3 linked regions of the Macaca fascicularis genome follow. The protein of the gene in region 1 binds, or shares a complex with, the protein of each later gene. Links are inferred from orthologs where the notes say so. Each region holds a gene or a part of one and is shown on either strand. Other genes may lie near its edges.

What was found.
Region 2: DHX29 (region 1) and EIF1AX share a complex: the UniProt entries of both Homo sapiens proteins name them as parts of the 43S pre-initiation complex. The link is inferred for Macaca fascicularis from reciprocal best matches to the Homo sapiens genes DHX29 and EIF1AX.
Region 3: DHX29 (region 1) and eukaryotic translation initiation factor 1A, Y-chromosomal share a complex: the UniProt entries of both Homo sapiens proteins name them as parts of the 43S pre-initiation complex. The link is inferred for Macaca fascicularis from reciprocal best matches to the Homo sapiens genes DHX29 and EIF1AY.

The regions. Positions count from the first base shown.
Region 1 is NC_088380.1:60,695,835-60,699,487, reverse strand, and holds part of DHX29 (ATP-dependent RNA helicase DHX29), read left to right. Parts: intron 1-820; coding exon 821-997; intron 998-1,694; coding exon 1,695-1,835; intron 1,836-3,078; coding exon 3,079-3,223; intron 3,224-3,358; coding exon 3,359-3,476; intron 3,477-3,653. UniProt on the Homo sapiens protein: ATP-binding RNA helicase involved in translation initiation. Part of the 43S pre-initiation complex that is required for efficient initiation on mRNAs of higher eukaryotes with structured 5'-UTRs by promoting efficient NTPase-dependent 48S complex formation.
Region 2 is NC_088395.1:19,994,465-19,998,117, reverse strand, and holds part of EIF1AX (eukaryotic translation initiation factor 1A, X-chromosomal), read left to right. Parts: intron 1-914; coding exon 915-996; intron 997-2,503; coding exon 2,504-2,595; intron 2,596-3,653. UniProt on the Homo sapiens protein: Component of the 43S pre-initiation complex (43S PIC), which binds to the mRNA cap-proximal region, scans mRNA 5'-untranslated region, and locates the initiation codon. This protein enhances formation of the cap-proximal complex.
Region 3 is NC_132903.1:7,967,643-7,971,827, forward strand, and holds the start of eukaryotic translation initiation factor 1A, Y-chromosomal, read left to right. Parts: upstream 1-1,353; 5' UTR 1,354-1,534; coding exon 1,535-1,550; intron 1,551-4,185. UniProt on the Homo sapiens protein: Component of the 43S pre-initiation complex (43S PIC), which binds to the mRNA cap-proximal region, scans mRNA 5'-untranslated region, and locates the initiation codon. This protein enhances formation of the cap-proximal complex.

The sequences.
Region 1 (3,653 bases):
GTTGGAAGAGCATAAAACCCTTTTTTCTGACAGTGATAGAGATTCTCTTGGATTCCTGCTAGTTAATGCCTCTTTTTCTACCTAGTAGATAAACCATCTGTCTTGTAATGGTGACAGTATAGTTTTATATTAGTGGCAGAGATTTAGCAGTCACTCTTGCTTCTAAGTGAAATTTGGGATATACCCTACATCTTTTCTTTTTTCTTTGAGACAGAGTCTCACTCTGTCGCCCAGGCTGGAGTGCAGTGGTATGAGCTTGACTCACTGCAACCTCTGCCTCCTGGGTTCAAGATTCTCCTGCCTCAGCCTCCCAGGTAGCTGGGATTACAGGTGCACACCACCGTACCTGGCTAATACTTGTATTTTTAGTAGAGACAGGGTTTCACCATGTTGGCCAGGGTGGTCTCAAACTCCCGACCTCAGGTGATCCGCCCGTGTCGGCCTCCCAGAGTGCTCAAGTATGAGCTACTGGCAATAAGGTACTCCTTTTTCACGCATCCCTCAAACTTAGAGTTGTACCCGGCCTTATCAGCTACATCTGATCTGATTTGCGAACCATCTCCTAGGGTAGAGTCATGCTGTCATGGCTAATCTAGTTCATTATATGATTTTCAGTGACTTCAATTTTAGAGAATGACTTTATTTTCAGTTCTGAAGATCTGCCTTATTTAAAACATACAGCTTCTCCCTCCCTGCACATGTACTGACTGTACTTAGATATTGAATAACTTTTAGTAAATCTGGGTGTCTGATTGTTCAAGCTTCTTACTAGAATTTGTACAATATATGATGAATTTTTTTATTCCCTTTTTAAAACTAGGTTCATGAAAGAAGTGTCCAGTCAGACTTCCTACTAATTATCTTGAAGGAAATTTTACAGAAACGTTCTGATCTACACTTGATTCTAATGAGTGCCACTGTGGACAGCGAAAAATTTTCTACGTATTTCACACACTGCCCTATTCTCAGAATTTCAGGAAGAAGTTATCCTGTTGAGGTAAGTTTTCTTTATAATGTGTGTATAAGCAGAAACTGCATTACCAACAGGTTCTTTCCCTAGGAGATGGGTGCTTGTAGTCTGAGGCCAGAACTATTCCTAGGTTCAGTGAGTCGACAGAGGAGCGGGACACAGCCTTAAGAATCAGATGGCTGTTACTGCCTTGCCTGAGGCTGGATAGGAGAGAAAGGAGGGTGTTGACTCAAGACAGCCCTAAGGGCTAAAGAACATAAAACTATTTTCACATGAAAATCATTATATTCAGATTAAGAGTTGCCGCCCTTCCCTGGTCATCTAATGGTCAGGGAGAAAAAAAAAAAAGAGTGGCTACCTGGCAATAAGGAACTCCTTTTTCACCCACCCCTCAAATTTAGGGTTGTCTTTGAAGCTTCCTTTTTACATATTCTATTCTTGATTCTTACCTTTTCAGTTCAGCTAATATAATCTACTCTTAACTGTTTCACATTATATGTATATATATAAATATATCTCATAATGTAATTTGTCTTGAGGCTTTAGAGACAATCCCTCTTTGTCAACCAAGTCTTCATTCCCAAATAATACTAAACATTTTTTTCATAATATTCTAAATTAGCGTTTGGTGACATTCAAAAGGTGGTGTCCCCTTGTTCTCTTTAAAATGATATTTACTGAAATGAATTTGAATTCACCCATTTATATGCCTTATTCTATGCAGGTTTTTCATCTTGAAGATATAATAGAAGAAACAGGTTTTGTACTGGAGAAAGACTCAGAATATTGTCAGAAGTTTCTGGAAGAGGAAGAAGAAGTAACCATTAATGTTACAAGCAAAGCAGGGGGAATAAAAAAATATCAGGTAAAAAGAAAATATTTTGAAAGATATCAGATAATGATATCCAGGGCCTAACCTGCCACAAGAGTTTCAAAATCATATGGTTAACACAGTGAATTTGAGTATAATTTGATAGATGAGGAATAGATCTGAGAATGAACGAATTTTAAAGGTCGTTTCTTTAATCTTTATTTCATAGACTGTAATCTTTGATTTGTGATACTTTGATTGTCCTCTTAAACTATTCTGGGCCATCTAGGTACACATACAAAATCAAGGACCATACAAGTTAGAAGCAACTTCTTACAACAATTTTGTAACAGTGATCAGTTATTGAGGAGTACATAGTAGTGATTTTTCTCTACTTCATCTCAACACCATAGGTGATCAGGATAGGGCAGGTCTCAAATCTAGATCCTTGCCATTGGTTTTCTTAGCCTCTGTCCTGGCAGGAGCAGGGCAGAGGCAAGATGGTGATAGGTAGATAGTGACAGATAGATAGATAGATAGATAGATAGATAGATAGATAGATAGATACATACATACATACATACATACATACATACATACGTACATACTGAAGCTGTGTAGGGCATAGTTCTTTCTGGGAAGTTCAAATATCAAAAAAACAATGTTATCCTGCATTTTAGCCAGTGGTACTAGATCCAGCATTTTTGTCATATCCATGATATTTCATGCATGTTTCCAATTTGATGAAAACACAGAGTTAAAGTTATCTTTATATTTTTATTAAGCAGATAGACCAAGAAAGCAAAAAGTAAAATCTTCCCCTAAAACACCAGAGGTAAAAATTACTAACTAAAGAAAGACTTTAGAAAAGTATAATTATTTCAAAAGAGATGACTGGAATTCAGGAGCCAAAGTACAATGTAGAAGGAATGAGCCAGGTACAAACTACTTATTAAAGTTATGACCTCTCTTGGCCTGGCTGCTTTTTAGTTGCCACAGAATGATGCATACATGATTACAATATGCTTTTCTACAATTATTTTAGTATGTATATGCCAAGATAAAAAGGTTTTGCTATACCTAAGGGCTGGATGACATTAAATTATAGGAGAGAGATGATACTTTCTGATATTCTTGCCACTACTAAGTATATTCTTTCTGTATCTTAACAAAATAGTAATGGTGACAATGAGAAAAATATAGATTTGATGAATGCAAATACCGCCTTTTTTCCTTCTTTGTCTTACAAAAATACTTAATATTTTTATTCAGCTCCCTCTGGTTGGATTTCTTTTAGGAATACATCCCAGTTCAGACTGGAGCAAATGCTGATTTAAATCCATTTTACCAGAAGTACAGCAGCCGCACTCAGCATGCTATTCTATACATGAATCCTCATAAAATCAACCTGGATCTCATTTTGGAACTTCTTGCCTACTTAGGTATATTTCTATTTCTAATGGGTCTCCATTTTATTTGATAAAACATTTCTACTACCTTGAGATGTTTTGTTAATATTTTATATGCTGTTCCTTTTATCTTCTTATTTTGAATATTGTATCTTTTTAAAATTTCAGATAAAAGTCCCCAGTTCAGAAATATTGAAGGAGCAGTATTGATCTTTTTACCAGGTCTTGCTCATATTCAGCAGTTGTATGATCTTCTATCAAATGATAGAAGATTTTATTCTGAACGGTAACTACACATCTTCATTATATTCCTGGTTGTTTTAAATAGGAAAATATTTGGTACATTAAAACCCTTGATCAGAGTTTTCAAAGTTTTTTCACCAAAGGTTAAAATTGCCCATGGGGAAGTAAGATTTTTTTGTTTAAACATTTCCATTTTAACATGTTATCTACTAAAAATTTT
Region 2 (3,653 bases), on another chromosome or scaffold:
AGGACACCAAGGGTCCGAAATGAGTAACATTTTAACTGTAAAGTAACAGCCAGGACCAACTTCTGATTTGAAATTTTTCGTGATCCTTCCGTGCCCCTCCCACTTACGGCGTGGTCTTTGGCTCAATAGCATCTTCTGGAAGCTTGTTAGAAATACACATTCTTTGACTCTTCAGTCAGAGCATGCATTTTAATAAGATCTCCATGGGCTTCTATACACTTTACATTTTAAGAAGTACTGATCTGAATCACACTGTCCTTGAAGTTGAAGCAATCAATTTTCTCCCTTAACTGAGTTAAATTATTTTCAAATAGGGAAGTAGAACATTCTAAGACAGTATTTCTCAGTGGGACTTTTGCATCAGAAATAGCAAAGAACTTCTCACAATACTAAATCTTGGGCTTCTCTTCACATCTGCTAATCTATCTTCAGAAGATACAAAAACTCCACAGGAGATTGTGATGATACATAGCCAAAGAAGCACAGATAATGCAGAAAGGTATAATTTGCTTAGGTCATTGTACCAGTCTCAGTTCAGTCTCAGTTTTGGAATTGCAGTGTTTGATCACCCTGCAAATTATTGTCCCAGGGACCTTTTGTACTTCAAAAGACTTCTAATCAAAGGGTAATATTAAATAATCTAAAATATGGGGTCTTCACAGTTCTGCTCTTATTAAGTGAGATCTTTAAATATATTTCCCAAGCCTGTTAATAATCATTCAGCCATGTACATAAACTTCCTCCTGGGTTAAACCCAAGGATCTTTTTCAGAGGGTATGAGAAAGCTTTAAAATTTAAAAGGAGATTTATAATAAAATGGTGAGATTTGATTGTTTATTCAATATGAGAATTTATGAAATAACTGATAATATTTCGTCATGATCAGTTTTTAAAGTTATTTGTCTCTATTTAAGGATAACAAAGCTGATGTGATTTTAAAATACAATGCAGATGAAGCTAGAAGTCTGAAGGCATACGGCGAGCTTCCAGAGCATGGTAATGTCTGAGTTACTGTATTAACTTGTCATATGGTATTTAGGTTATCTGTTGCTGTTTAGGTGAAGGAACTGTGGATTTTGCTTATTTACTTTAGTGCTTACATTTTTAGTTTTAAGTATGCCTGCTTATGCTTCATAATACTAGATATTTTAAGAAAGAAATTACTGGAATTCTGTTCCCAATAAATATAGTGAGGAGTTATATTCTGTAAGCTTTGGAGTTCCACATAATGCTAACTAAAGGAATAATTTTGTTATAGTATCTATTTTAAAATTCCTTTCTTGAGAGACTGTCAGTGCTCATATGGGTTAAACATGAAGTGCACGTCAGCCAGGCGTGGTGGCACATGCCTGTAAGTCTCAGCTACTTGGGAGGCCAAGACGGGAGGACTGCTTGAGTCCAGGAGTTCGAGGATGCAGTGACCTGTGATCATGCCACTGTACTCGAGCCTCAGTGACAAAGCAAGACCTTGTCTGAAAAAAAATTAAAAACAAAAACAAAAACATGAAGCAAGGGCACATAATTAGGTACTATTACTGATTTTGTTTGTTTGTTTGTTTATTTGTTTGTTTTGAAATGGAGTCTCACTCGGTTGCCCAGGCTGGAGTGCAGTGGTGCAATCTTGGCTCACTGCAACCTCTGCCTCCCCGGTTCAAGCAATTCTCAGCCTCCGAAGCAGCTGGGATTACAGGCATGCACCACCATGCCCAGCTAATTTTGTATTTTTAGTAGAGACGGGGTAAAAAGTTCTATTTTCATTTTATCGTTGTGTAACAGTATCCCGTAGGATTTTTTAAAAGCAGCATTCTTGGTTTTCACCCTTCCAAATACAAAAGTAATGAATTCTTAAAGCAGAAAACCTAAAAATAAGTCCCTTACAACCTCATCAAACAAGAAATGTACTTGACATACTATTTTGTAGGCCTGCATTTTCACTTGGCAGTTACTGTTTTTGGCTCTGTTGTATCTTATTATGAAAAAACTTAATTTTATTATGTTTTACTTAAGCACGAAAGTATTAATTTTACTTAAGCATGAAAGTCCTGCTGAAATTACTTAGCATTTCTGATCTAATAAATGTTAATGTATCTAGGAATAAGACTAGCGCTTACTGGTTCATTTTCATTTCTTTAGGGATAATCATGATTTGACCAGATCTTTCTCATTGATGAGTCTATCTGATGATTAGTGAACCAGCTATTCTTAAGGAAATACGTTGTTACCATGTGCTCAAACCTTTTGAGAAGTATACCTGGAAGTTATAATAGCTTCAGAATTAGTGTAATTAGAGCCTTCCTTACTGAAAATACCTTTGCAAACAAAAGAAAATGGTAACACAGATACTCCCATCTTGACATAGCAGTGACACTACAGGGAATTTTGCTTCATATAATATTCTTCATAGTAATTGTGTTATATAAAAGTTAGGAATGCTTTTCTTATGATGAAACTTTGATTAAATTACAGTGCTGACTTACCAGTGTATTTCTTACTGTGTCCTTAGCTAAAATCAATGAAACTGATACATTTGGTCCTGGAGATGATGATGAAATTCAGTTCGATGACATCGGAGATGATGATGAAGATATTGATGATGTAAGTAGATGTACCTTGTGTTTTCCAATTTTTGTTATTATCCATGGAGAAACCAACTTTCCCCTAACATAAATAAGGGTATATTTTGAGAATTGTCTGAATTAAATAGTATTATGTAGAAGACACCTAGTCAAACTGTTTATTTTGAGAATTCTTTTTTTTTTTTTGAGATGGAGTTTCATTCTGTCACCCAGGCTGGAGTGCAGTGGTACAATCTCAGCTCACTGCAACCTCTGCCTTCTGGGTTCAAGCCATTCTCCTGCCTCAGCCTCCCGAATAGCTGGGACTACAGGCGCGTGCCACCACACCTGGCTAATATTTGTACTTTTAGTAGAGATGAGGTTTCACCATGTTGGCCAGACTGGTCTCGAACTCCTGACCTCAGGAGATCTGCCCTCCTTGGCCTCCCAAAGTGCTGGGATTACAGGCGTGAGCCACCACGCCTGGCCCTATTTTGAGAATTCTTACAACCCTCTTCAATTTCTCTTCCTAAAAAGGTCGGTGTTTGCATTGGCAATATTGACGCCAGCCACTGTAAGCATGATTTGTCTAATTATGAGTCTCTAAAGAGATAGCTATTAAAAAATTTAGTGGACAGTTGAAAAATAGATCTTATCAAAGGAACATACATGCCTTTTTAATTGAAATATTAGTGTGTTGAAAGAATCTTGTTTGAATCAGCTTGATATGAAGATTGGAATTACAACATACACTGAAAGCCTTGTCAAAATGGAAGCCTATTGCCAATTATGGTATTTTTAGCTGTTGGATGTGTACTGTTGGCAAACTCTTGGGCAGTTGGTATGTTTATTTTGAGGAAAATGGATTGTCTATCCTAATAATAAAGTAGTAATGCCCATAAGTGTAAATGCTTTACTACACTTCTGCTGTTACTGTATTTGAATGAAATTCAAACTTATTCTTTTGGCAGTATAAATTTATTTAGTGATTGGGGTGTTACTCTTAAATCTGTTTTGGGCTCTTTTCAGACCTCTTTAACTAAAATGTGGTTCAGAAACCACCTGTGTATTTCAACCCAAAAACAATAATAAGTCAGA
Region 3 (4,185 bases), on another chromosome or scaffold:
AGAAAAAAAGAAAGAAAGAAAAGGATTAGGAGGATACTATACTATGCATATCATGGCCAGTTACATGCCCAATAAGATAATTTAGAATAAATGAACAAATTCCTGATACATAGAAACTATTTACCTTGCAGAAAGAAAGGGAAAAAAAAAAGGATTAGGAAGATACTATTCTTTGTGTATTATAGCCAATTATACACCCAACAAGTTAGATAATTTAGAAAAAATGAACAAATTTCTGATACATACAAACTACCAGAACTGACTCGGGAATAAATATAATACGAATTCATAATCAAAACTAAGGCCTTGGACCATTTAAAGAATTAACGAATTTACATCAAATGTGTCCAAAAACACAGAAGAAAAAGGGACCCTACACAATTCACTCTGTGAAGCCAGGATTATACTGATCCTAAAGCCAAAGTCATCACAAGAAACAAGCCAATATATCTTAACACAGATACCAACATTCTAAACACAATAGTAGCACACACAACAAATCCAGTAAATCAAATGCTTGCATATCACAATCAAATGGAATTTTATCTTGAAATAATTTCACAACAGGCAGTCCATTTGAGACATTTGGTTACTGTAAGATTCAGATGCTTAGTCTCACCCCTTCCTATATATATTTACCTTCCATTTCCTATACATATTTACCGTCTACTGTTTGTCAGTATTCCGCTGGGTGGTAGCAATCTTAGGCGACAGGCCCGGCCTTGGTACTTACATGGTTTAGGGTGAGGTGCTGAGGTAAAGAAGACAGAGACTGAAAAAAAAAAAAGGCCAGGCGCGGTGGCTCACGCCTGCAATCCCAGAATTTGGCAGGCCAAGGCTGATGGACCACAAGGCCAAGGGTTTGAGACCACCCTGGCCAACATGGTGAAGCCCTGTATCTACCAAAAATACAAAAATTACCCGGGCAGTTCGCTCCACTGCACTCCAGCCTGGGCAACAAGAGCGAAACTCCGAAGGAGGGAGGGAAGGAAGGAAAGAAGGTAAATAGGGAGGGAGGGAGGAAGCGAGAGAGGGAGGAAGGAAGCATTCTGAACATAGAGGGTCTTGTCCTAAGTCAGTCCTCCAATATTACTGTGTAAGAGTAACGGCTCTCTTAAAATTTAGGTGTTTAAACGACCCACTAACTTGTGAAACTGGAAAACGTTTTTTTAGCAAAGCGGCGGACACCAGGTAACCGCCCCGTTCCATCCTTGACTCCACTTTCTCCACCTTGAGTTCCGCCCCGCTACCTGTTTATTCATCCGGCACCAAACTCTCCGGTATTCCAATGGGGTCTACTAGGTGTCAGTCATTTGGCCACGCCTCAGGCGAAGAGAGGCGCGGAAAAGTATCGCAATTAGGTGCGTCGCCTATTGCTGACGCCAGAAAGTGTGCGTCCGCAGTTTAGCAGAGAGTTCCGTGGCCAGTCTGTTGTGCGCACCCACCTGAGGCATCTTAGGTCAGCCTGCTCTTAGAGAAGTAGTAACCGCCAGAAAGGAGTCGGAAGAGGTCCCACGAGGCTGTCTTCACCGCTATGCCCAAAAATAAAGGTACTGCTGTAAGCGTCTGGGACTATACCTCGGCTTGCTCTGCCAGTAACCCCGATGTCTGTTCCAGGCCGCAGTAACTGTTCTTCCGGCGGAACTGGGCACCGCGCCCCCTGCACTCTGTTGGGGAAAGGAGTTGGGAATGCCCGATTTGGTCACATTGGGTGGGAGAGACGCCATTTTTGTTGGGCCTGCTTCGGAAGGTAGCGGGCTTTTGCTACTGTTTCACGCCAGACGGAAGGCGTGTAGGTAGCGGAGGGTTGAGGGACCCTAACCGGACGGCCTGGCTTCCCAGAGTAGGCACCTGCAAACTGCCTTGCTACTTTCCTTTGAAGCAGTTCTTAACTTAGAAGATTTACGTATCTGGACAGTTAAAAGTATTGCTAAGGATACTCCTTTTTCCTTATTAAACAGTGGGGAAACCTTGAAACATGTTTAGGTTCGTCTCTGGCATTTTACTCTACCCCATCCCCTTATAGAGTGTAACATTCTTTTGCAGAAGAATTGTTACATATTTAGGCAAGTTTTTAACTTCCGTATCCGACAAATATCGTGGGAGTAAAGACATCAACCTTCCCTTCATTCAGCGTTTAAACTTTCACACCAAGGTTAGACTTGAAAATAAGTTTACTTACAGTTTCTAAAGTAGGAGGTCTAACCTCGGCAGAACTCTTGCTCAGTCGTTTCTGAAAGAAATTCTCCTTTATATAGACCTGAGGTAATCGCTCACATTTAATGCCCTTGTAATTACTTGAAGAAAACTATAGGTGGAAACAAAATGTATTATTTTCCACAGGAGAGGACCATATTTTTAGTACACAAAAACTCTGCTTAGATTATTCCTTCTTGGGACCCACACCAATTTGTCTTCTTTTTACTTGCTTGTTGCCACCAAGGAGTCTGTTTCATTTTCTCTTTATAGCTGTTACGACACACAATTCGAGGTACTTGGTGACAGTACAGGGCTCTGTTTTCTGGACATTACTCTTTGCTCTCCCCAAAACCCACTAATGAGTTGTTTGTATAAGATTTGTTTGTTTTACTGCAAAATTATTCGAGGATAAAAGTGTATTATGGGAGAAGTCTAATTAGAGTTAGCAAAGGCTTATGATTTTCACTAACATTTTCTCACATGGTACTGAACAACTTCAGTAAGTATGTTCTCACTTTTATTTCTCTTGATGAGATTCTCAGTTCTCTTAAGTTATCGATTCTAAAGATCACAGTATCTCCCTTTGCAAAATGTCCATTAAATCTTTGTTGATGTTGCTATCCCTGTACGTGACTCTAGCCTTAAAATAGTAAAGCTTCCTTTATTCTTGTAGGGTAGAACTTTTAAACTGAGTGATGCTTAAGAAGGTTCTCAGTAAAGAGTATCACCAAAACACATAGGGTTTGTTTAAGGAGAAGGTATGGATTTGTTGGTCATAGAAAGAAAGCAAGATAAAATATTAAACGATTTTAATTGTTATATGTTCATGCCTAGCCTCATTCTTTTAAAATATAATTTAAAGTGGAATCTGTTACATGGTATTACGGTAGAAGGAGAATAATCAGGATTTGGTTAATTCTGGTAAATTGAAAACAAATTTTTGTATCATATCTGAGGCACATAAAAGAAGTACAGTGGCCGGGCGAGATGGCTCATGCCTGTAATCCCAGCACTTTGAGAGGCCGAGGCGGGTGGATCACGAGGTCAGGAGCTCCAGACCATCCTGGCTAACAGTGAAACCCCGTCTCTACTAAAAATACAAAAAAATTAGCCTGGCGTGGTGGTGGCTACTAGTAGTCCCAGCTACTCCAGAGGCTGAGGCAGCAGAATGGTGTGAACCCGGGAGGCGGAGCTTGCAGTGAGCGGAGCGCCACTGCACTCCAGCCTGGCGACTGAGGAAGACTCCGTCTCAAAAAAAAAAAAAAAAAAGTATAGTAATACAGTGAACTCCAGGAAATCCATACCTCTAGGAATTACAACACAGATTCGTTAAAGTCCTCTGTTACCTCTCCCAAATTTATTTTTAAGATTTACTTACCATCCTGAATTGAATGTTTTTATTATTGTGTAAAATCAGTGTTATCCTCTGGGATACTTAGTTGAAGGATATTTTTGAAGACCCCTACGTTTTATGAGATGAGACTTACTAATATAGAAGTAAAACTTGCTCATTTGGCTTTTTGTGTATTTTTGTTTTTGTTTTCATTTGAAAATCCAGATGTCTGTCAATATTGTCGTGGTGAGGTTTATCCAAATAAACATGTAAATGAGCATGGGCCATATGTGGAATTACTTTTTCTTTGCACTCATGCAGCTGGTTTTTTGCAGAAATCTCAGAAACCCATCCTCACATCAGGAAAAGGGCATCCTTTGGCCTACTTGTGAAGAGCTAGAGTAAGATGCTCCCACCTTTGAGATTGCTGTATGCAATTTAAAAGTTGCCATTCTTTTGCAAATGTGTAACTAATCATGATTTAGTCATTTGAAAAGCTGCCAAACTTTTATAAAACCCAGTAAGCAAAGCAGGTATGATCTTTGTCCTGACGCAGCTAAGTTCAGTCACGATTAATGGCTCGAAATATAGAATGTGTTTTCCTTTGTAGAAATTTAGTTTTGGCATACCCTAAGAAGGCATCAGAATCTGGA